2 linked regions of the Mus musculus genome follow. The protein of the gene in region 1 interacts with the protein of each later gene in a pairwise test. Links are inferred from orthologs where the notes say so. Each region holds a gene or a part of one and is shown on either strand. Other genes may lie near its edges.

Region 1 (13,043 bases):
GTGTGTGCTTTGCAAGCCTGACACCCTCAGAGTGACCAAAGCCATGGTGGAAAGACAGCACCACTCCAGGAACTTCTCTAACCCACATGTGTGTGTGTGGGGGGGGGGGGCACAGACATCATGCACACATTAATAATAAAGAAAACATTCATCGAGCTGGACTGAGTTCAGCAAGTACTGACCAAGCAGGCACAGGGGTCTGACTTCCATCTCAAATACTACAGAAACCAGAACAGGATGCAGGTGGAAGCAGGAGCCAAGATCAAGTCAGCCTGGGCTACAGGAGACCCTCGTTCAAAAAAAAAAATCATTTTTGTTTGAGACAGAGTTTGTCTACATAGTACTGGCTGGCCTGAAACTCACTATGTAAACCAGAGTGGCCTCAAATTCACAGAGATCTGCCTGCGTCTAACTTGAAACTTCTGGGATCAAAGGTGCGGGCTACCACACCAGTTAAAATAGAATGTATTTGAAAACAAAACTCTGAGACAAGGCCTAACTGAGCACCGTTGTGGTCTGGCCTGGAACCTCAGACATTCTCCCTGGCTCTGGGTCTCTAGGGTCGGGGCTAAAGGAGTGTGCCACTTTCTGGACTAAGTAATTACATTTTATTTTGAAGAGAAACAGTTACATTGCTCTCAGGGATTGGCCTTGTTAAATTCTAAGAAGCTAATGAGGGAAAGAGTAGAAAGCAATGTTCAGGACCGAGACTGGGTGACAGACAACTGTGGGGATGGGGCCAGATGTACACAACTACGATCTGCAGAGCTTGCTGCTAGACAGCCATTCAGGATCTGCAGTAATCAGTTTAGGCCAGAGCGGGGCAAGGACACGACAGGGTGCAGGAAAGGGGCTCAAAGAAAAACGCAGGAAGGTGTCACTGCGCGTGCGCGGCGCGTGCGCGGCGCGTGATACAGCGGTCCCTGCCGGCAGGACGACCCAACTGCACGGTGCTCGGATCTATCTTTCCTCTGTGTAGGGAAGAAATATATACGTTGAAATAAATCATATTTAAGATTTGGTTAGACAAGATGTAAGTTTAAATTCTGGTCCTGCTTTAATCTACTGAGTGGCCTTGGATAAGTTACTGGATGTCTCTGGGCATTAGAATGAATAACAAACTAGTTAACGAGGTACCTATAATAAAGAGGAGTGGGACTGGGGCTCAGTGGACAGTGGGCAAGCCTAGCATGCACCAAACCATCATCAACACCACAAACCAGACTTCCTAGCACTGGGGAGATGGAGGTGGGAGGATACCGAGTGCAGCGGGCAGCTGGGCTACATAAGACTCTGGCTAAAATCACAAGAAAAAAAAAAAACAAAACAAACAAAAACCAAGGCTTGAGTCATCGCTCAATTGGTTAAGTACTTGCCATGAAACCATGAAAATCTGTGTTCAATACCAGTTCCTGCATAAAAACCTTCAGCGTGCCCTTGGAGAATATGGAGTTCCACGAGGCTAAACTAGCCTGCCACTGATCCAAAGGGATTCTCTTGTCTCTTCCTCAATTAAGTAGAAAATAAAGATGAAGGACAACACCTGATGTCAACTTCTGACCCACACATACACACTGATTGCGGACAAAGTCGTATGTGCATGACAAAGGAAAACAAGCCATGAAGTAATACAAATAGGTGAAATGGGGCTGGTGAGATGGCTCAGTGGGTAAGAGCACCCGACTGCTCTTCCAAAGGTCCAAAGTTCAAATCCCAGCAACCACATGGTGGCTCACAACCATCCGCAACAAGATCTGACTCCCTCTTCTGGAGTGTCTGAAGACAGCTACAGTGTACTTACATATATTAATAAAATAAATCTTTAAAAAAAAAAAAAAAAACAAATAGGTGAAATGAAAGGGAATGTAGGCCTAGCTGGGGATGGGGAGATGGCTACCTGGGTAGGAGAGCTGATACAACACAAGATACTGGTTGGATTCCCAGCACCCACATAAGAAGTCTCACAAGGAACCCAACACCGTCTTCTGGACTCTGAGCCACTGCCCTCGTGTGAGCATATACACACAGTTAGAAATACTAAACGGAAACCTGCAATGACATCCCTTTAATCCCAGCACACGGCAGGCAGAGCCTGGTTTACAGAGCAAGTTTCAGGACTCCAGACACAAATCTTGTCTGGAAAAGAAGAAAAGGGCTGGAGAGATGGCTCAGTGGTTAAGAGCACTGACTGCTCTTCCAACGGTTCTGAGTTCAATTCCCAGTAACCACATGGTGGCTCACAACCATCTGTAATGGGATCCAATGCCCTCTTCTGGTGTGTGTCTGAAGACAGCCTGGACTTGTATAAAGAAAAATAAATAATTCTTTTTTAAAAAAGAGAAAAAAGACAATAAAGTGTGTGTGTGTATTTTTTAAAAAAAAGGATCTGAGCTGGTGAGATGGCTCAGTGGTTAAGAGCACTGACTGCTCTTCTGAAGATCCTGAGTTCAAATCCCAGCAACCACATGGTGGCTCATAACCATCCATAATGAGATCTGACGCCCTCTTCTGGTGCATTTGAAGACAACTACAGTGTACTTATTTATAATCATAAATAAATCTTTTTAAAAAGCATTATTAAAAAAAAAAAAAGGATCTAGCCGGGCAGTGGTGATGCACGCCTTTAATCCCAGCGCTTGGAAGGAAGAGGCAGGCAGATTTCTGGGTTCGAGGCCAGCCTGGTTTACAGAGTGAGTTCCAGGACAGCCAGGGCTACACAGAGAGACCCTGTCTTGAAAAACAAAACAAACAAACAAAAAGGGTCTCTTTCAAGCTTTCTTTTAAGGTCTCTAAAAGATGGTCTTCCTCCTCAAGGTCCAGTATTAGGTGGATTATTCCAGTTTAGGCCAAGGAGGAAAGAAAAGAAGAAGAATGTATCACATTAGATAGATTCTGATCATGTGACACCAGGTGCCTACAGAATTCTAAGAAATGAAGTCCATTCTGAAAGGCCACTTAAAACAGAAATTGGAAGACAGTTTTTTTTTTAAGATTTATTTATTTATTATATGTAAGTACATTGTAGCTGTCTTCAGACACTCCAGAAGAGTGCATCCAATCTCATTACGGATGGTTGTGAGCCACCATGTAGTTGCTGGGATTTGAACTCAGGACCTTCTGAAAAGCAGTCAGTGCTCTTACCTGCTGAGCCATCTCTCCAGCCCAAGACAGATCTTTTAAGAGAAGTGTTGCTGTCAAGCTATAATGATGGTAGTGAGCCAGAGAGTTGTTTTAGTAGGGAAATCATTTGCGGCACACACAAGGGATCTGAGTTCAAATTCTTAAACTATGCAAAAATTCAGGTATAGTAGCTCATCTGTCATTGTAGCAAAGGGGAGGTTGAGACCCCAGCATCCCTGAAGTGGCCACCAGTTTAGCACACCCGATGCATGGGAGGTTAAGTGAAAAAAAATCTGTCCAAAAACCAAAGTGGAAGCCAGGATTGTGGCCACAGCATTAGTCCCATGTGTCATGGAAGCAGAGGCAGGTGGATCTCTGAGTTTTAGGCCAGCCTGTTCCACAGAGTGAGTTCCAGGACAGCCAGAGCTACACAGAGAAACCCTATCTCAAAAAACCAAAACCTTTCAAAACAAACAACAACAACAAAAACAGAAGTATAGCTCAGAGGAGTCAGGGCATCCATGGCAGTTAGATGAGCCCACTCAGTGGTAAGAGCACTCTTGCACAAGACCCAGGATCAGTTTCCAACACCCACATGGTGATTTACAATCATCTGCAGCCAGTTCCAGAGAGGGTCTGAGCTCTGTAGGCACGATGCACAAATAAACATAGAGAAAAAACATACATACACATAAAATAAATAATTTTTTTTGTTTTTGTTTTTTGAGACAGGTTTTCTCTGTGTAGCCTTGGGTGTTCTAGAACTCACTCTGTAGACCAGGCTGACCTTGAACTCAGAAATCTGCCTGCCTCTGCCTCCCAAGTGCTGTGTGCCACCACTGGCTGGCTAAAATAAATAAATCTAAAAAAAAAAAAAAAAAAAAAATCGGCCGGGCGGTGGTGGCACACGCCATTAATCCCAGCACTTGGGAGGCAGAGGCAGGCAGATTTTTGAGTTTGAGGCCAGCCTGGTCCACAAAGTGAGCTCCAGGACAGCCAGGGCTACAGAGAAACCCTGTCTCGAAAAACCAAAAATAAATAAATAAATAAATAAATAAATAAATATCGAACAAGAGTACAAAAGGGGCGGGGGCTCGATTGGTGAAGTGCTTGCCTATCGTACAGAGAACCCTTCTTTAATCCTCAGCATCACAGAATAAGGTGTGGTGAGCCGTGCCTGTCACGCCAGCACTTGAGAAATAGAAGCTACAGTGGGGTTAGTTACAGAGGGGAATACCAGGTGAGCCTGAGCTTCATGAGACCGGTTCTCAAAAGAAAACACTTTTTACTCTACTTCTTGTGGGTACTAGGAAGCCACAGGGGGCTTGCGATAGAAGTCAAGCTTGGAAGAGCTCTCTCTCTCTCTTTTTAATTTAGTTAGAACAAGAGTAAGGATCGAGTGGCTTGCAGAGAATCGACCAGAATGCTAACACACACACACACACACACACACACACACACACACACACACACACACGAAAGACGACCCGGATGTGCACTGCACCGGGCCAACTAGGCTCACACCCCACCACACACACACACACACACACACACACACCACACACACACACACACACACACGAAAGACGACCCGGATGTGCACTGCACCGGGCCAACTAGGCTCACACCCCACCACACACACACACACACACACACACCACACACACACACACACCACACACACACACACACACACACACACACACACACACGAAAGACGACCCGGATGTGCACTGCACCGGGCCAACTGGGCTCACACCCCACCACACACACACACACACACACACACACACACACACCACACACACACACACACACACACCACACACACACACACACACACACACACACACACGCAAGACGACCCAGATGTGCACTGCACAGGGCCGACTAGGCTCACACCCCATCACTACAGGGCCATGCGAGCCCTACACCTGCCAGCTGCCGCTCGAAGGGAACAGGGACACCTGCCCGGCCGCATTCTGTTCATCCCCAACCCTTCTCTTCATCAAAATGCAACCGTAAACATGAGCCATAAAATGCACCAGAGCAGGAAGCACATACACCTTTAAGACCACCCTCCCCACGTGGGCGCGGTCCAGTCCTCCCAATGAAACGGAAGCAAGGGGCGGTGCCGTTCTCGCTTAAAAACCCAGAGCGGGGCTAGAAGTGAGCGTGGCCCCAGTGCAAGCTTCGAAAATTTGGGGGTTGGGTGGGGCTTGTGGGTAGTTAGAAAGCCAAGGAGGGCCCCTGAAATGGTGATCGCCCAGAAGTCTATTAGGAGTTCGATCCACAGAACTCATTTTGTGACACCTGGTTAAAGGAGAAAGCAATTCCAGCAAATTGTCCTCTGATGTCCACCTAGGGGGCTTGGAACGCGCGCACCCACACCTATTCGCGTTAGTCTCTAAACCTGATGACCTGAGTTCGATTCCCTGAATCCATATTGTGGAAATATACAAACCCCTTAGATTGTCTTTGGACGATCAAAAATTGCGTGTCTCCCCCAGTATATAAATAAAACAGACCACAGAAAAGTGGGCGTAGCCTTGAGCCAACAAATAAAGAAGGAAAAATGCAGCTAGAGGGGCTTCTGTGCCCTAAAGAAGCAAGGCTACGCAGGGCTTGGTTATGTTCATCTTTAATCTCAGTTCTCCGGAAGCAGGGGCAGGAGGATTTCAGTGAGTTTGAGGCCAGTCTGGTCTACAAAGCGAGTTCCACAGAGCCAGGGCTACATGGTGAACCTGTCTCAAAAAACAAAAACAATTTTTAAAAACCCACAACTGTTGCCACCGCAAGCCAATTTGAAAACGAGGCAGGGGGTTCGGCCTGTACTCTACAGAAAAGGTGGGGCCAGTAAGAGAGGGAGCAGGGCAAAGGGTATATGGTTCAGGCACTAGCTGGTTCATCCCTGCTACCTACACAGTGGAAGGAGAAAACCTAATTTCCTAGACTGTTTTGTGACTTTCACATATGTACACACTAAATAAACACAAAAATTTAGCGGTTCTCTAAAGCAAGAGAAATGAGGCGGCGGGAAGTGCTGCTATTTCTTTAAGCAGCAGACTCCTCCCCAGAGTGGGCGTGGTAGCGGCCAGCGCCTTGAAAAATAACCGTGGGGGGCGGGATTTGGCAATTGTCCGTTGTGATTGGTCAGATCCTCGGGCGGGGTTCCTGTAGGCGCGTGCGCGTGATGCATCCTCCCGCCTCTCAGACGCGGGGGCGTGGAGGAAGGAGCCAGCACTCGCTTTTACTGGCTCTCGCGCAGGCTCCGCCCTTTAGTCGAGGGCCCTCACGTGACGCGACGGCTGGGGCCTCCCGGCGCGGGGGACGCTAGTGGCCAAGATGGCGGCAGAGCTGGTGGAGGCCAAAGTGAGTGAGCGAGAGTGGCTCCGGCCGGGACAGGCGGGTGGCGGAGTACGGACCGCTCCTCGCAGGGAGCTGGGAGGGCGGGGTGTGGCGGCGCGGGCGGCGAGGGTGCGACTGGGACGCGGGCTGAACCTGCGGGCGGGGGGCGGGGAGACCGGGGGCGGGGTCGCCAGCTCCCTCCTGGGGTGTCCCCGCCGTCTACTGTCACTTCTCTACTGACCCTAGCAGGGGTTCCCACAGTGTGGCTACACAGCTTTCCCGGTGCAGGCACTGTCCTCTCCTTTGGGTTAGCTCTGTTGGGACATAACTGGGGGTCCTTCTGTGGTCTGGGAAGCCGAAGGAATGCAAAGTGACTTCGCCATCAGGTTTCCAAGGCAACGAGTAGGACTCAGGTCCGGGTGCCCCCCCTCTTTCCTCCCCCACAGGCCTGCATGGGGAAGGTCTACAGGGATTGCCACAAGTCCTCTGATTCTCGGGGCTCAGACTGACACCTTCTGACTCCAGACTCAGGCCAACTATAAGTGCCCAAGTTCATTTTAGAGACTCAGCCCTCGAGTCCCGCTCCCCACTTGTCAGCTCTGGGGTACCTCTTCACTTCAGCCTCCAGTGATCCTGTCTCACTCTAACCCATCTCTAACCTGTGAATCGCCTTGTAGAGTTTCTCTGCTGCCTGGCATACTGGACCCACCACCTCCTTGTTATGTGTTCCTCAGATTGATCCTCACAGGACACCTTGACTGAGTCCAGGGGAACATTGTTTAGACTTGTTCCCCCATTTCTGCATTAAGGTACCAGGGCTCTGACCTGACTTGAGTCCCCATTAAACCCTCTTGAAGTACAGCTTGGCTTAGCCTACATCCAGTTCTGCTCTGTCTCCCTGTCAAGGTTCCAGCACACTTGTCCCTCCAGAGTTATTGGAGTTCCTCAGTCCCCCTCAAGCATCTTCCCACCCATAAGATTCAGACTTGCCCCCCCCCCCCCCGTTTTTCTGCCTGCCTTGTGACATGGTCCTTCCCTCCCCACTGGGACCCTTAGGGTTATTCTAGAGGATCTGATTAAAAGGTGTCGTCCTCACCAGGCATGGTGGCACACCTTTAATCCCAGGGGTCTGGAGACAGAGGGAGGCAAATCTCTGTGAGTTTAAAGCCAACATGGTCTACAAAGTGAGTTCCTGGACAGCCAGGGCTCCACAGAGAAATCCTGTTTCAAAAAATCATTTAAAAAAAAAAGTGCAGCTGGGCGTGGTGGCGTACGCCTTTAATCCCAGTGCTCGGGAGGCAGAGGCAGGCGGATTTCTGAGTTTAAGGCCAGCCTGATCTACAGAGTGAGTTCCAGGACAGCCAGGGCTACACAGAGAAGCCCTGTCCTGAAAAACCAAAAAAAAAAAAAAAAAAAAAGTGTACCCCTCTTTCTCACCATTTACTCACCCCAAATCTACACCATTTACATAGTGGTTTTCTCTTGGGAAACAGAACTTTGAGATGGAGATATGTAAACTATGATCTGGAACGCAGGAGTTTTTTTTGTTTTTTATTTGGTTTTTTTGAGAAAGAGTTTCTCTGTGTAGCCCTGGCTGTCCTGGAACTCACTCTGTAGACCAGGCTGGCCTTGAATTCAGAAAATCGCCTGCCTCTGCCTCCCAAGTGCTAGGATTAAAGGTGTGGGCCACCACGCCCGGCTGGAACACAGTTTTACTCCTTGAAGTCCCCCTTGTACCATCCTAGAACATTGGGGTGAGGCCAAAGACTCTGTACCTTCATCCCCCCTCAGTGAGAAGGGCTGCGATTGCTTCTTTGCGGTCTAGATTCTTTAAATAAAAGCTGATGACCTCTACTTGACTCTCTGCCCCCTAGACCTCCACCTCCACCTTAGTTAGGTGAACTTGACTCTTCTTTGAAACTCTGAAATGGTCCAGAGGACTCCTGTCATGGCCCCTCACAGTGTTTTAAGAATGATAGCAATACCTCCACTTTTCTGGTAGCTTTCCTCCAATCTGTCCCAACAGGCCAGAGATTCTGTCTTTTGAGGCATCCTGGGGTTTCCAGGAAGCGAGATTGTGGTGTTTGTGGATGAATGGACCATGCTCCATCATCCTGTGGGTGAATGGTGCCTGCAGCAGGCTTGGGGCCAAGCCTTCGTCCTTTGCCCCTGTGTTGGGCATCTCAGCTTTCTAAAGAGCCTAGGCTAGTGTCACAGCTAAGTACAGCCACTTCTCTCTCTGTGTTTGGGTTGTCACTCCACATCACACCCCAAGCTGAATCTCCAGAAGTCATGGTGCTGATGCTGTTTATAAACTCGGCCCTGGTAGTCTGTGCCAGGGCGGGAAATACACTCCGGGTGATGGATGGAGGCTTCTTCCTGTGCGTCTGTCCCCATGCCCTGCTGTTCTCCAGCAGGCTGCTCAGGCCATAGCAGCTGCTGAGAAACCTGACCCAGACCATATGGCAGCGACCTGGCTGCTCAGACGCTTGCCATCAGTCCTGGGTGGTGGAACTCCGTGATTACCATTGGAGCTGCAAAGCTCTCTGACTTTAGCTGGACCTTCGAGGGCACCTACCTCACTGTGCCTCTCTCCTGAGTTGTGAGGATTTGAGTATAAATGTGCTGTGTGCTGTTTGTCTCTGCATGCGGTAGGAAGTGAAGGCCACATTGGGAGTGCCCAAGGGCCGCATACCCTAGAGTCCCTGAAGAGTTGGGGCTTCCCTACAATCCTCTAGAGATCTGGGAAGCCTGGTAGCCACCAGGCCAAACTTGAGCCCACCCTGTCATACTGGGAGTACTTAAGTCATGCTGAAGTATCTGGCACCCCAAGTCTCTGGTGTTTTTTGGAGCTTCCTCGTAGGGACTCAGCAGGTGAACATCCAGTGGGATGATGACCCCTGGGCTGGTCAGGTGGGCTTTGACACTTCGGGTATGTGTCCCAGCCCTGTGGAGGTCCCTTTCTACTTTTCATTCAGTGGAGGCCAGCATCAGGACTTAACACAAGAGGCCCCAGGCCCAACTGGCCTGTGTCTCACGGATGCTTGGTCCTTCCATCTGTGGGGACGTGCCATGCCCAGGTATCAGCTGTCATGAGTGCAAGCAGCCTGCCTGAGGGCCTGGGTCGTGCTCTGGAGTCCCCTTGTGCTCTGGTTGGTTTCTTTTTGCTTGAAGTACCCCATAGGTTCATTCCTAGGCCTTCCCATCTGTGTCACTGTGTCATTAGCTTGGTCACTGCTCTGTTTGGTTTCAGAGACTAGCTGTTCTCATGTGGGCCCATTCTGTTCCTGGGTACCCTGGTGGTTGACTGAAAACCAAGGGCAGGGTCCAGGATGCCTTACTGGAAGACCTGTCTCAGACCATAGTGCCCAGGGGCCTGAGACTAGCAGGCCATACCTAGTCTGGGACAGCACTCATAGGAAGCAGGATTTTGGTGGCTGCCACAGGGAGCTGAGGGTAAGGGGACACACAGATTAGAGGATCACACCCCTGAGAGCCGCTGTGGTTCCCCTTTGCAGAACATGGTGATGAGCTTCCGAGTATCAGACCTGCAGATGCTGCTGGGCTTTGTAGGCCGGAGCAAGAGTGGGCTGAAGCACGAACTGGTGACCAGGGCCTTGCAGCTGGTGCAGTTCGACTGTAGCCCAGAGCTTTTCAAGAAGATCAAAGAGCTGTATGAGACTCGCTATGCCAAGAAGAGTGCAGAGCCCGGCCCACAGGCACCACGGCCCCTGGATCCCCTGGCACTACACTCCATGCCCAGGACTCCCCTGTCAGGGCCCACCGTGGACTACCCCGTGCTGTACGGGAAGTACTTGAATGGACTGGGGCGCCTGCCCACCAAGACCCTTAAGCCGGAGGTACGCCTGGTTAAGCTCCCCTTCTTCAACATGCTGGACGAATTGCTGAAGCCCACTGAACTGGGTGAGTGGTGGGTATCGCCCAGCAGATCCCCAAAGCAGGCTCAGCACTGTGCCCCATGACCAGCCACCCCAAACCTAACAGCTTCAAACACGTGACACGGGTGGCAGGGCAGCACATACTGGCCTTTTCATCACTTAGTGGCTAAGGCAGGAGGAAGGTGAGTTTTGGGTTAGACTGGGCTACAGACTAAGACTCTGCTGAGGGTATGGCTGAGGGTATAGGTTGAACAGTGAGCTGAGCATTCACTAGCATGCTTGACCTCTCATCCCCCACTTAGTCAGCTGAGGCAAGAGGAGCCATGATTTTGAGTCTAGCCTGGGCAAATAGATCCTGAATTTTTTTGTTTTTGTTTTTGTTTTTGTTTTTGTTTTTCCCTTGTTTTTTTTCAAGACAGGCTTTCTCTGTGTAGCCCTGGCTGTCCTGGAACTCACTCTGTAGACCAGGCTGCCTTCAAACTCAGAAATCCGCCTGCCTCTGCCTCCCAAGTGCTAGGATTAAAGGCGTGCACCACGACTGCCCAGCCAGACCCTAAATTTTTTTTTTTTTTTTCAGAGCTGAGGACCGAACCCAGGGCCTTACACTTGCTAGGCAAGCACTCTACCACTGAGCTAAATCCCCAACCCCCAGACCCTGATTTTTAAAAGAAAAAAAAAAAAGCTAGGCCTAGTGGCTCATTTCGGTTATTTGGAAGGGAGTTCAAGGCTTTCCTCAGTTATACAATGAGTTTGAGGCCAACCTGAGCTAAAAAAAAAAAAAAAAGAAAGAAAGAAAAATAGATGTAAGTTCCAAGTTATCAGGAAGTGTAGACTGGTCAGACCCCCATCTTCTCTGTTGAGGCACAGATAGCCTCCAAGCCCTCTGCAGCACCTGACCTTCCACGTGCAGTGTGGAGTGGGGTTGTGGCCACAGATGCTGCCCTGAGCTGTGCACCTGGCAGGTCCTAATGGGCCACATCTAGGACCTGGGACTCTCTCAGGTTCTCCAGACACCCTGGTCCCCTATTCTCCCTCCTGTCTGTCTCTGTGTAAAGCCTAAAGGTTGGGCCCCAGTACTCGAGGCAGGCTGCGAGATGAGCAGTTCCTCTGTCAACCCCACATGGTACTCAGGGGCCTCCCCACTTCCATTCCAACTTGACTATCTTCCCTGGGTAGCACTCTACTACTGTAGCAAGGCTATGTCCCTCTTATCCTGGGACTTGGGGCACTATGTTTAAATTGGGGCTGCTGGGGGTGCCTGAGGAAGGGTAGCAGGCAGCAGTGGTTGTGCCCTATGGTGTGGACTTTTTCCTGTGATCAGAGGCCCCGCCCCTTACTGAGGCTCCACCCCTGACCTATAGTCCCACCCCTTTTGAAAACCCTTGGTGCTGATGGGGGTTGGAGGCAGAGCCCCCTAACCTGCCTACTCTGCCCTTCCTGTCATGCTCCGAGTGCCACAAGCTGCCTCCCTGAAGGTCTCCACAGCCCTTGGGAGCCTTGGGGTCAAGTTGACTGGGTGTCATCTTGAGGAAGACATCAGGAGGTTGGCCCCCTGGCCTCCCAGCCTGCATGACAGGGCTTCCTTCCTGCAGAGCAAGCCAGCAGTCACTCCGCCCCACAATGCATCACTGTGCCCTTCTCCCCTGGGACCTCGGTCACCTGATCTCCAGGAGAGCATGCTCCCCTGTCTACCAGCAGCTTGAACAAAGAGGTCTAGCCTGTTGGTCTGCCTTCTCACCAGGGTACCCCCTTTCCTGGGTCCCCACACCTCGAGGGACTGCTGGATAAGAGTGCTGATCCTGGATCTAAGGCCATGATCTCTCAAGCTCAAAACCCAGAATTTCACATCCCCGGCATGAGCCCTGTGATGCCAGTTCACAGTGGCCAGCCTCTTTCCCAGGCCAGAATGAGCCCCATGATACTATAGGATTCTCTGGAAGAGCGTACCGCTTAGTCTGCACCAGGCAGACTGAACCCATAAATCACCTGAGCACCCGGAGGGGGAGGGGAAAAGGGAAGGGGACACCAGCTGCAGTCCAGAGTGTACTGACAGACCCTCTAAGAGGGCTAGTAACCAGAGAGAGCCAGGCACTCACCCAAGGACACACAGCCTCCTGAGCTCGTAGCCCTCCCAGGCTGACCTCCTTTCCCACCAGGCTGTGCCCTGTACCCATGTCTGTCTGGGATTCCATGTTGGTTTCTCCCTTACTTCCATGCAAGGCAGACCCAAGTAGGTAACAGTTGCTGACCACAGCAGAACTGACCTAGGACTCGAGATCTGAGGGCCCAGGCAGAAGTGAGGATGGTTTAGGAACCGGTGGAGAAGGAGATGTCGGCTGCCATGGAGCTGGTGACTCCTACCCGAGGGCTGTGTGTCCTTTGAGCAGCTGGAGGGCTTCCTGTGAGAGGAGGCTTCATTGGGGCTCCTGTGGGTCATGTAGATGGAATGAAGCTGTTGTGGGAGTAAGGAGTGATGGGGGGCCTGGACCTGAGGACAGGACCAGGGCTGGGCTGGGGGACCTGTGACCTTAGGGGCCATGGGATGTCAGCCTCTTTAGCCACTGCTACCTCCTTTTGCTGCCCATGTGTCTTACGTGTCTTAGCTCCCCGGCTGCTGGGGAAGCCTGCTATGTTACTTGTTTCGCTGATGCAGTTTTTGAGGCAGGCTCACAGTGT
Region 2 (11,345 bases), on another chromosome or scaffold:
AGGACTTTACAGTCCAAGTGCCTCACAGAGGTGAGAGTGGGTGAGACCCTCCTCCTTGGCCATCTCCTACTCCAGCCAGCCACCCCATGTCTTTCTTGGCAGTTGGGGACAGTTAACCTTGTGAGTGCCCATTCTGTGACTCTGTCTATTCTGGCTTCATTTTGCAATCTTGTTTTCTGTCACAAGAGATCTAAACACCAGGACTCTGCCATGAGTACCTGTATGTGAGCCCCCAACTGTTGGGGGTGTATTTGTCTAGTCGGAATCCCGTTGTTTGTGGGTGACCTCAGTCTTCCTCATTTCTCTTCACACCTTTAAGTTTTAGTTATTTACTTATTGTGTGATTTTTGTTTTTTATTGTGGGGGGAGCACAAGGGTACATACAGTGTTTACGTGTGGAGGTCAGCTAGTTCTCTCCTTCCACCATCTGGGCTTCAGGGTGGAAGGAGTCCAGCGTGTCAGGCTTGGTTGTTGGCACCTCGGCCTACTGGGCCATCTCGACAGCTCTATATACCTTTAAATGGTGGGATTTCTTCTGTACCTAACGGGTGGCCTTGGGTGCAGTTGAGGTCCAAAGTATAAGAGGCATTCGTGAGTCTAGTCTATAAGTGTCTGTTCCTTGGTGACCGGGGTGCTAGCTCTTCTTGCTCAGTGGTCTTCCCTATGAACAGTGCAGACACCATGAAACCCTCCCTCTCAGGTCTCTACTGCTCCCTTCCCCTTAAAGGGAAGATTTTATGCATTAGGAAAATGTGGAGGGGGAGGGGCGAACACCTTAATGGAATTTTAGATCTATTCAGCACTTTTTCTGGTATTGCTTCAAAAAAAAAAATCCCCTCAGCTGTAATAAAAAAAAAATTGTGAGCAGGCATCTGATTACGGAGCTTTTTACAATGTAGTTTTTCTTCTGGATGCTTTTGAATGAGTACGCGCCGTTTAAACGCAAGCCCCTGTACACTTTCTGGGGTGGAAAAGTTGCAGAAGAACACCAGAAAGCTTATAATGCTGGGAGAATCGATGAGCAGTAGTCGGTTTGCGCTGGGGATGCAAGCGGTAAAGCCAGAGTTGGACTTCCTGTCCTCTTCCCGTCCCTTTTAAGGTGACCAAGACTTCGCTGGCCCTGCCCGTGTGTCCTGTGAAACTCTAGGAGAGAAATCCCTACCCTAACCTTTGTTGGAAGACTGTGGGCTGCGGGCCCAGCTTAGGTATTTGTTCCGCAGAAAAACGATGTTGGGTATTTCCCATAAGTGAGCCCAGCCATTTTTCAGTCCAAGGTGGGGCATTTGGGTGATGTCTCATAGTGCCCGGCTGCCCTGCGTTCTCAGAAGGTGTGGGACTTCTGCGTTGGGAATGCGTGCACTGAGGGGTTTGCTGGAGTGTTTTGGGCCTCAGAAATAGTCTGGTCAAGAAGCAAGGGGGCTTGTGAAGCTGACTTGTGTGGGGCTGGAGACAGGGAGGTGCAAGCAGGGGTCTTCCTGGAGCTCGTTGAGGGGACGACACCCACACACTACCATTTATCTGGGCTGGGCCATTAACCTCAACAGAAAAGGGCTTTTTCCTCGGGAGGTAGCCTGGCGGCAAATTGCTGGGTAGACTGGCTGTGTAGATGAAAGAGAAACCCAGGCAGGCGTCTTCCCCTCCATACTCTCTCCCCACGGGCCTCAGGCTCCAGCATTGCCCAGTTTGTTCTGTCCCAGAGGCTTGCCTGGCAGACAGGACCCTCACCCCTTGCTAAGGAGGCCAACAGGCCTGGCATGGGGAGCAACTTGATCCCAAACTCCTCCTCCCTCCTCCTTCCTCCTTCACATTCCCTTCCCCCTACCCTTGGTGTCTGGTGCCAGGTTTCAGTGGGGCTGGGCTGCATGAAACAGGCATTGTAAGGCCCCTCTTAAAGAGTCTCCCCAACCTCCCCCCTTCAGCTGCTCCCCAAGTCTTCCTTTCCCTGTCCGGGTTTCTTGACCCAAGTTCCACACACTTTGGGTGAGCACTCTTGTGTCCAGAAGTGTCTTTCTTACTTTCTTGGACTAACTAACTTTAGGGGTCGTTGGTGTGGCCTTCAGAGCTGAGCTCCCTCTCTGCAAGAAAGAAAGTTCAGAGCTTGCCAGCGCTCACGAGTTTATTAGCAGTTGATGGATACTTTGCAGAAACAAGTTAATGCCTGATGAGTCACCTTCTGCTCTGAGCCCTCGTCCCTCTCTTGTTTTTCGTCCTTTCTAGTATGTGCGGGCACAGACATTCCACCATCATAAACGCACACTCAGACACATGCGGTCTTATATGCTTGGGTTGTGGGTCCATGGCACTGGGGGCAGGGGACAGTGCAGGTCTGTGATGTTTTTTTTTTTTCCCCAGTGGCGTGGGGATTCAGGAAAGGAATCCAACACTATCTTGGCATCCTCTTTGTGTGTAGCTGGGCATGGGTCGGGGAGGCCAGCTAGAGGGGGTGTCTGTAAGTAGGGGACAGTCACTCAGGATTTGTGTGTATGTGGCTACCTTTGTGGAAAAAAAAGAAAAAGAAGCAAGCAAGCAAGCAAGCAAGCAACGATCTGACTGGTTCCCAGGTCCTAACATGCCTATAAAACTTGGACTGGATTGATGTACCAGGCTGCCCTGGGTTACCAGCAAGCTGAGTTTTCTCAGTCCTGCCCCTGCATGGGGACAGCCCTCTGAGCCCAGAAACAACAAAGGCCTCGAGGACTAGACACATTCCCGGTACAGCTCCATCTTCAGGGCCCACCAGACTTACTGGAGTGGGAGAGAGGCAGGAGGAGGCTTTCAATTTTGCCCTTGGTGCTCCCCCCCCCCATATACACTCCTTCCCCCTCTTGCCTTCCCCCATTTTTGTTAGCAAATACAAGACTTCCGCTCTCCACCCTGCCGCCACAAACCACAGCGTTCCTGCAGCCCAGCGGGGCTGGGAGATTTATAGGCCTCAGTCTGGGGCCTGTTCTCTCAAGTCTGCTGCCCACTCGAGGGGGAGGGGCTTTCTTAAACATGGCCTCCCCCCCCCCCCCCCCCCCCGCAAAGTTCACAGAACTCTTGTTTAGGAAAGTCACCTTACCAGTGTCACTTCCAGGTTGTTGTGGGGCGGGGGCAGGGGGTGGCTTACAGGAGGGGCGGGCAGACAGGTCGGTGAAAATGTCACAGAGGGCAGCATGGGCTGTGCAGGGTCAAACTGGAGGAGAAGGGGGCACGCCAGCGAGATAGACTGGCAGGAGTATACAAGGATGGTCACGTTTATTTTAGACGTGGCCTCTTCTGTCTGGGCTGGCCATGTGGTCTAGGCTGATGTCCCCCTGCATGTCGTAATTTGGCACTTGGCCTTGAACTAATAACCTTCTTTGTACAGGCTGCTGCTGTCATACAGAGAGAGAGAGAGAGAGAGAGAGAGAGAGAGAGAGAGAGAGAGAGAGAGCGCGTTTCTGTCGGGAAGATGGCTTTAAAAAAATAACATCCTCAGAGTCACCCTCATCTTTATTTTTACCGTCTGATGTTCCCTTGGGAGCAGGGCATCGATGTGGATGTGAGAATCGAACAAGCTGGTACAGAGGCCGCAGGTGGACCACCTGGCTTCTCATTCTGACTGGGTCACCACCCAGTAGGCCAGCATCTCTCATCCAGGTCTTGGGGGAGTAGAGAAACTGTCCCTCCAGGTTCCACACCCGTGGGAAGCAACTCTTAATTTAGGCTATTTCTGAGGCCTTATCCCGCTCGAAACAGCAGGACCAGGTTATCAACGGTCCCAGAGTCTGTGCTTCTGGGGACAAGTAGACACTGGGGCTGAGGCTGCAGGCTCAGATGAGACGAGAAGGGAAGATGACAGCAGTAAGCCTCGTAATTAAAGGTGGATTAAGATGTCTTCCCTCCATTAGCACTGTAGACCCTACAGCTAGCCCAGGCTTACCCTACAGCTAGCCCAGGCTTACCCTACAGCTAGCCCAGGCTTACCCTACAGCTAGCCCAGGCTTACCCTCACTCCCTCTTTTGTTTTTATACTGCTTATGGGGACACTCCACATGAATGCACCGTGTACAAATGTGTCTATGTATATTCGAGAAGGAGAAAAAGAACCCGGTCTCTGTCACCACCAACGGTTGTCTGCCATTTTTGTCTTGCAGATTCCCAACTTCTTCTGGAGCCTGGGGATCGGTCACACTGGTGCGTGGTGGCATACTGGGAGGAGAAGACTCGCGTGGGGAGGCTCTACTGTGTCCAAGAGCCCTCCCTGGATATCTTCTATGATCTACCTCAGGGGAATGGCTTTTGCCTCGGACAGCTCAATTCGGACAACAAGAGTCAGCTGGTACAGAAAGTGCGGAGCAAGATCGGCTGTGGCATCCAGCTGACGCGGGAAGTGGATGGCGTGTGGGTTTACAACCGCAGCAGTTACCCCATCTTCATCAAGTCCGCCACACTGGACAACCCGGACTCCAGGACGCTGTTGGTGCACAAAGTGTTCCCTGGTTTCTCCATCAAGGCTTTTGACTATGAGAAAGCCTACAGCCTGCAGCGGCCCAATGACCACGAGTTCATGCAGCAACCATGGACGGGTTTCACCGTGCAGATCAGCTTTGTGAAGGGCTGGGGCCAGTGCTACACCCGCCAGTTCATCAGCAGCTGCCCGTGCTGGCTGGAGGTCATCTTCAACAGCCGGTAGTCGGTCGTGTGGTGGGGAGAAGAGGACAGGGCGGATCGTGAGCCGAGCAGGCCACCGTTCAAACTACTTGCTGCTAACCTTTCCCGAGTGATTGCTTTTCATGCAAACTCTTTGGTTGGTGTTGTTATTGCCATTCATTGTTGGTTTTGTTTTGTTCTGTTCTGGTTTGTTTTTTTTTTTTTTTCCTCCTCCTTTCTCGTCATCCGTGTGTCCCGCTTGTCTTGTTCTTTGAGAAATTAGCTTATGGTGCGGATTTTTGTTGGGTTGTGTGTGTGTGTTTTGTTTTTGTTTTGAGGTGGTGGGTGTGGTTGGCAGGACACCCCCTCCCCCCATATACGAAGACAGGAAACGAGAGTCAGCACTGCCAAGCATGGTGTGTGAAAGTGGGCACCACCTTCCCTTTGGATCAGCGTTTCGGTTGTCCGTGCGTAGGGGTGTACCCGAGCGACAGATGGGGGAAGTGCTTTTTTGTGTGTGTGTTCTTTATGGATGCCCCCGGCTGAGAGGCTCATAGTGCCAAGCTGTGTGTCTCTCTAGCCTTTTGGACACGCTCGGTGGGGCAGAGGCAGTACCTGGGCAGACTGGCAGCAGGTGCCAAGCTCTGCTCCAGCCTGCCGAAGCTGCCCCGCCCCGCCCCGCCCCCGCCCCCACAGGACACGGGCCTATCCACAGGCTTCTGAGAAGCCAGCCTGCTAGAAGGCTGAACCAGAACCAATTGTTTTCATCCCTGTCTTACTGCCGCCTGTCACCCGCTGCCATTGTCGAGTCTGTCTTTTTTGGCCATCTGCTCCTGGATCTCTCTCTTGAGATGGGCTTCCCAAGGGCTGCCGGGACAGCCCCAGTCACAGTATTGCTACCCCAGTACCCTCTCAGGCCCTTCCACCGGGTCCCAGCCGTGGTGGTTTTTTCATCAGGTTTCTCCCAGATGTGGAAAGTCAGCTCAGCACCCCATCCCCCATCCTGTGTGCTGAGCTCTGTAGACCAGCGAGGGGCATCAGGGAGGGACCTGCGCAGTGCCCCCCCTTCCTGCTGAGAAGGGTGTAGCCCCGTCACAACAAAGGTACCATCCCTTGGCTGGCTCCCAGCCCTTCTCTCAGCTCATACGCTCGCTCGTATGATACTTTGACACTGTTCTTAGCTCAATGAGCATGTTTAGAATTTAACATAAGCTATTTTTCTAACTACAAAGGTTTAAATGAACAAGAGAAGCATTCTCATTGGAAATTTAGCATTGTAGTGCTTTGAGAGAGGAAAGGACTCCTTAAAAGAAAAAAAAAGCTGAGATTTATTAAAGAAAAATGTATTTTATGTTATATATAAATATATTATTACTTGTAAATATAAAGACGTTTTATAAGCATCATTATTTATGTATTGTGCAATGTGTATAAACGAGAAGAATAAAGAAAAGATGCACTTTGCTTTAATATAAATGCAAATAACATGCCAAATTAAAAAAAAAAAGATAAACACAAGATTGGTGTTTTTTTCTATGGGTGTTATCACCTAGCTGAATGTTTTTCTAAAGGAGTTTATGTTCCATTAAACAATTTTTAAAATGTATACTGCATCCCTTGTTGTTCAGAGCTTTGTCTTGGCTTGGAGGGAGGCTGGGAGGTCTATCAGTGGAGACAAAGGTGAATCGGCCCGGACTTTGGCTTAGTTCCCAGGTCTGGAGGACCCCCTCCCCTAGATACCCTTCTGTTAGGTGTGACCCAGGTCTTCTCATTGTATATTGGGAAGTGACTAGAGGGAGCCCTGTGGCTGACTTCAGGAGGAAAAGTATCCCTGGGAGACTGGGGTGGGGGGAGGATTGGGTCAGGGACAGAAGAGCAGGGACATCCTCAAGAACCAGGATCCATTGGCCCTTGCTCCTTCCACACCGTCCTGATTCATCCTCCTCAGGGGAGGGGACTGTGGCACCCGGGAAATGGAGGCTTCCACCTCCTCACCCCTCCAGTGATGACGGAGGGAGTTCAGGCTTCATTCTTCCGTCGCTGGGATGTTCATGACTGACGGCTTCACCAGTCCCGTGGTTCTGTTCACCCTGGGGCTCTGTGAGGTCCCTCTTAAGTTCTCTGCCTGCACGAGCTGAGCTGGGACTTCCCATTCATGTTTTAGATTGATGCTCATTATACACATATCAATAATACTACATGTGTACCTGATGCCTGGGGATGTCAGATCCCCTGGAACTTGAGTTACAGATAGCTGCCATGTGGGTGGGAGCTGACAGTCCAACCCAGAACCCTCTGTAAGAGCAACGAGTGCTCTCTCCAACCTTTGATACTAAAGGCACATCACTGGGTGCCAGGAGTGATGTTAATCTTTCTTAGGATCCCCACCCCCCACCCCGCGCGCAAGAATGGAGGCCTTTGGAGGCTAAGGAAGTCAACTGGCAACTATGACCTGAGCTGTAATCCTGTGTGGCCGGTGTCCCATAACTCACTTCCTTGCCCCTGCTGTGGGAGCAGAGCCTCTGGATTTGGAAGGCACAGAGTTCTAGAAGGAGGCCAGATTTGGGTATGGAGTGTGAGTTCTGGTGGGGTGGCTGTCAGACCACTCTGAAGTCTGGCATCTTCAGATCATCTGGCGTTAGGTGGAAGTTGATAACTCTGCTGCAGAAGACACCATCCACTGCCTGTGCCCAGGGCTGTTCTGTAGACATCTCTTCCAGCCTCCCTTGGAGGTTCGGTCTGCCTCTGAAGAGGAAAGGGGATAGTTGGGGGTGGGGGTGGGGGCAGAGTTGTGTTAGGTTTAATGTAGCCTGAAAAAAAAAATCACTTGGTTAGGCTCTGACCTTTTTATTCTTATTTTTTAGTATAGAGTAGATTTTATTTAGGGCATGGGGGGGGGGGGGCGGAGTTAAGAAGGTAGTAGAGGCAGAGAGAAGGAGAGTAGATAAATGGAGGCGGCCATGATCACGTGGAAAGAAGGGGAAAGGTAATGGGAAGGCGGGGCACAAGGGAGCGAGAAGCAAGAGTGTAAGCCGTTCTGACCTTTTTAGTGTCCTGATAATTCTCTTGAGGACTGCCCAAACAGTCTCGATAATGGACCTCCCTGTGGGTACACGAGCCGTCACCCCCTGTTGCTGGTCAGGCAATTTCTTGAGGTTCCTCCACAGGAAGTTTTAGGTCTGATTTGATCACTTAGCTGTGTAATCACTGGGTAGGGCAGGGTTAAGGTGAGCAAGGCAGGTGCCTGTGTTTTCTTAAGTAAATTCTAGTTTGAAAGGTCAGAAGCCTTTTGACCTCTAAACCCAGTTCCCAGGATTTGCAATGTTTGTTTACACCAAGGACTCTCCCAAGATCATGCTATCCTGCAGAGGATGCTGGCGGATCTTCCTGAAACAGTCTATTCTTCAGAGGGTAAATGATTAGCCCCAGAAGACCCAACCCTACACAGCTTGTAGCTGAGGCAGACATGCACCCAGAGACACAGCCCAGAGTGACAGGGACCTCTTTGTTGGTTTGTATTCCCAACAGTTCAAAGAAAGCGGACTCAAGTCCACTGCTATTCCAGATGTGTCAATGGCAAGCAGGGTGCCTAGAATATGGCAAACAATAAATGGCTCACAGTTACTGGCTAGGGAATTGGGCACAGTTGGGTTGGAGTGCTCACTTTGGTGAGTCACCCAACACTTTTGGCCCTCCATTTATGAAACACAAATAGGTATTCGACCTGCCCTGTGGGGCCAGAATGGGGATTATTGAGAAAATACACCCAGAGAGCTAGCTGAGCCATGTGGGATCGCTAATTTTGACCCTACAGATGCAACAATTTCATTCGGTTAAATCAATGAAATGATCAGTTTGAGGGAGTGGAGATTAGGAGTCTCCGACCTTCATCATTCTCTAGACATGTCTAGACATTCTCTAGACAGGGCTGACAGTGTCCTCGGGGTGGTATGCACAGCAAAGTGGGCTGGAGAGAAGATAGCGAATGGATTGTGGGGGATGGTCGACACCGGGGTGAGAGCCCTTCTGTTTAGGATGCCATCAAACTGTTGAACACAGGCCAGTCAGGAGGCAAGGCCACCAGAAGCCATGGCTCCAAAGCCAGGGTGGCCTGCCTTCGGGCAGTGTGGACACAGGCTTTTCAGGGAACAGCCTGCACGGTACAGTCCCGGTTTCCTGGCGCTGGAGCTGCAGGCCTCAAGCTGCCAACTCAGCACTTTTCCCTCAGCCAGAAGTAGCCCCCCTCTCTTTCTGAAAGTAATGATTTTCTAAAAATGGATTCCCTCCCCTCCCCCAGCTGCAATTAATCTACTGAACACAAAGTGGCCGCTGGAGGAGGCTCCTGGAGAGTTCGAACCAATGCACGCTCATTGATTAATTCAGGGATGATTTAGGGGTGGGGAGGGGTTGGGGGGTGCACACAGCCTCTGTGGGGACAGGCTGGGTCCACTTTGGAATCTCTGAGGTGACTGTTAGACCCACACAGACTCATTCAGGAGCCTCCTTCCAGCGAGGCCATAACCAGCCGCTCTGGGTATTTGAGAAGCTGGGCCCAGGCCCCAGGTTTGACATCCTTTCAATGAACCCCAGAAGATGAAGATAGACCTGGGGCTGACATTTTCAGAGAAGCTTTGGCGGAAGGGATACCAGACACATGGAGGACGCTTCCTCCTTTCTGAGGGTTACAGTAAATGGTGGCTTCAGACCTGCCAGTTTCTCTTCTTCTGTGGGCACTTTGGTTTCAAGTACGAGCAGAGAGAGCTCTGGCCCTGTTGAGCACAATGATTGAAATTGTCACCAGGTGTCCCAGCACCTCTCCTATCTTATCCTGCCAGAGTTTTCTTCACAGTGTCGTTGTACTGTGCGTATGATTGTCTCTATTTGTTGTTTTGGTTGCTGTTGTACTCCTGTGGCACAGGGTCAGCTCTGTGACTGTACAGCCTAGCTCCCTGGCATCTAGAATGATACCCAGCAACATAGTAGACACTGCAGGGGCTGCTTGGATGAATCTATGCTCAGTGACTGAGTTTCCGGGAGTGTGGGGGGATGCATTCATATTTCTACCAAATTTCCCTCCCAAACAGTGGGCATCTTCTTACTTTCAGATACCTCATGAAAACAAAGAGGTGGTTCTTGTTATTTTCTTCCCAAAAAGTGAATGAGAACCTGTCCCTCTTAGGGTGGTAATAACAACCACAAACACCAGAGTAGTCACAATTAGAACAGCCTAGGGGCTGGCAAGATGGCCCAGCCGGTGAAAGTGCTTGGATTCCTAAGACTGTGGGACTTTTTAAAGTAAGTCTGTAAAATGTTTTATGCTGTGATGTTTATATTAACGTGTGATCTTGGGGTATGAACAAGAAAGGGAAGGTTGTGGCTTTACATTGATGTGTTTGTGTGTCCATCAGTGGCACTGAATAGTTTTATGCTAACTTGATATAAGCTTTAGTCATTTGAGAGGACAGAACCTCGATTAAGATAATGCCTCCATAAAATTCAGCTGTAGGCAGACCTATAGGGCATTTTCTTAATTAGTGAATGATGGGGGAGGGTGCCACTGAGGGCTGGTGACCCTGGGTTCTATAAAAAAGCAAGCCGAGCTGGGCAGTGGCGGCACACACCTTTAATCCCAGCACTTGGGAGGCAGAGGCAGGTGGATTTCTGAGTTCGAGGCCAGCCTGGTCTACAGAGTGAGTTCCAGGACAGCCAAGGCTACACAGAGAAACCCTGTCTCGAAACAAAGCAAAACAACAAAACAAAACAAAACAAAACGCAGGCTGAGCAAGCCATGAGGACAAGCTAGTAAAGCCAGCAGAGAACAGCCCTCCATGGCCTCCGCATCAGCTCCTGTCTTCAGGTTCCTGCGCTATTTGAGTTCTGGCCCGACTCCCTTCAATGATAAACAGTGATATGGAAGTGTAAGACCCAAGTTGCCTTGGTCCTGGTGTTTCACTGTAGCAATAGTACCCCTACCTAGGACACCACCCAAACCTCATGCTCTGAACTTGATCCTAGAACCCATGCCGAGATAGATTGAGAGACTCGTCTTTAGAGAGCTATCCTCTTCTCTCCAACACCCGTATATTCGCATCACGGACACACGTACAGTAGTTATAAAAAGTACAACAAAGCAAGCCCACTGTGTGTGGGAGAGATTCTCACAAGTTGTGTTGTGTGGTCCTGAAGGGAATGCTGTCACTTTAGCCCATTTTACAGATGAGGATGTGGAGGCTCATGAGTGACCCCCTAGGGAGAGAATGGAAGTCTGTGGCATTCCAAGCCTTGCTGTGGGTCTTAACAGGAGGCTGGAGATGCCAGTGGCTACGGGAAGGGAGAAGCTCTGCAGGGAGGGCTGTTCCAGGGCTAGACTGTCCTGTCTCGTCCGAGCAGGGGCTGTAATCTTTGCTTCACACGGGGCGTCGCGTCATCAGCACCAAGTCTAATGACATACTGCAGCCAGGGAAATTACAGTGCCCAGGAGGTTTGTCCCAGAGGCCCTGCCCAGGGTAATTCCAGAGCAGGGATGGATGCTGGGAAGTAATGAGGACCGGGCGGGCTGCTGGCCTCAGGTGATGGAAGGGTATGTGAGGGAAATGGAGGATTTTACTTTTCATTGAAAATAGTGAAGAACAAGCCAGGTGTGCTCTCGACTGTCTCTGATTTGGGAGAAGCTAGAGTCCAAGACAGCCAGGGCTATAGAACAAGGCTCTGTCTTAAAGAACAAAGCAGCA

Evidence for each region.
Region 2: the proteins of Pias4 (region 1) and Smad7 interact in a two-hybrid assay, tested with the Homo sapiens proteins (2 studies listed by BioGRID and IntAct). The link is inferred for Mus musculus from reciprocal best matches to the Homo sapiens genes PIAS4 and SMAD7.

The regions. Positions count from the first base shown.
Region 1 is NC_000076.6:81,161,134-81,174,176, reverse strand, and holds the start of Pias4 (E3 SUMO-protein ligase PIAS4), read left to right. Parts: upstream 1-6,456; 5' UTR 6,457-6,465; coding exon 6,466-6,492; intron 6,493-9,986; coding exon 9,987-10,392; intron 10,393-13,043.
Region 2 is NC_000084.6:75,389,709-75,401,053, forward strand, and holds the end of Smad7 (mothers against decapentaplegic homolog 7), read left to right. Parts: intron 1-4,118; coding exon 4,119-4,657; 3' UTR 4,658-6,226; downstream 6,227-11,345. UniProt on the Homo sapiens protein: Antagonist of signaling by TGF-beta (transforming growth factor) type 1 receptor superfamily members; has been shown to inhibit TGF-beta (Transforming growth factor) and activin signaling by associating with their receptors thus preventing SMAD2 access.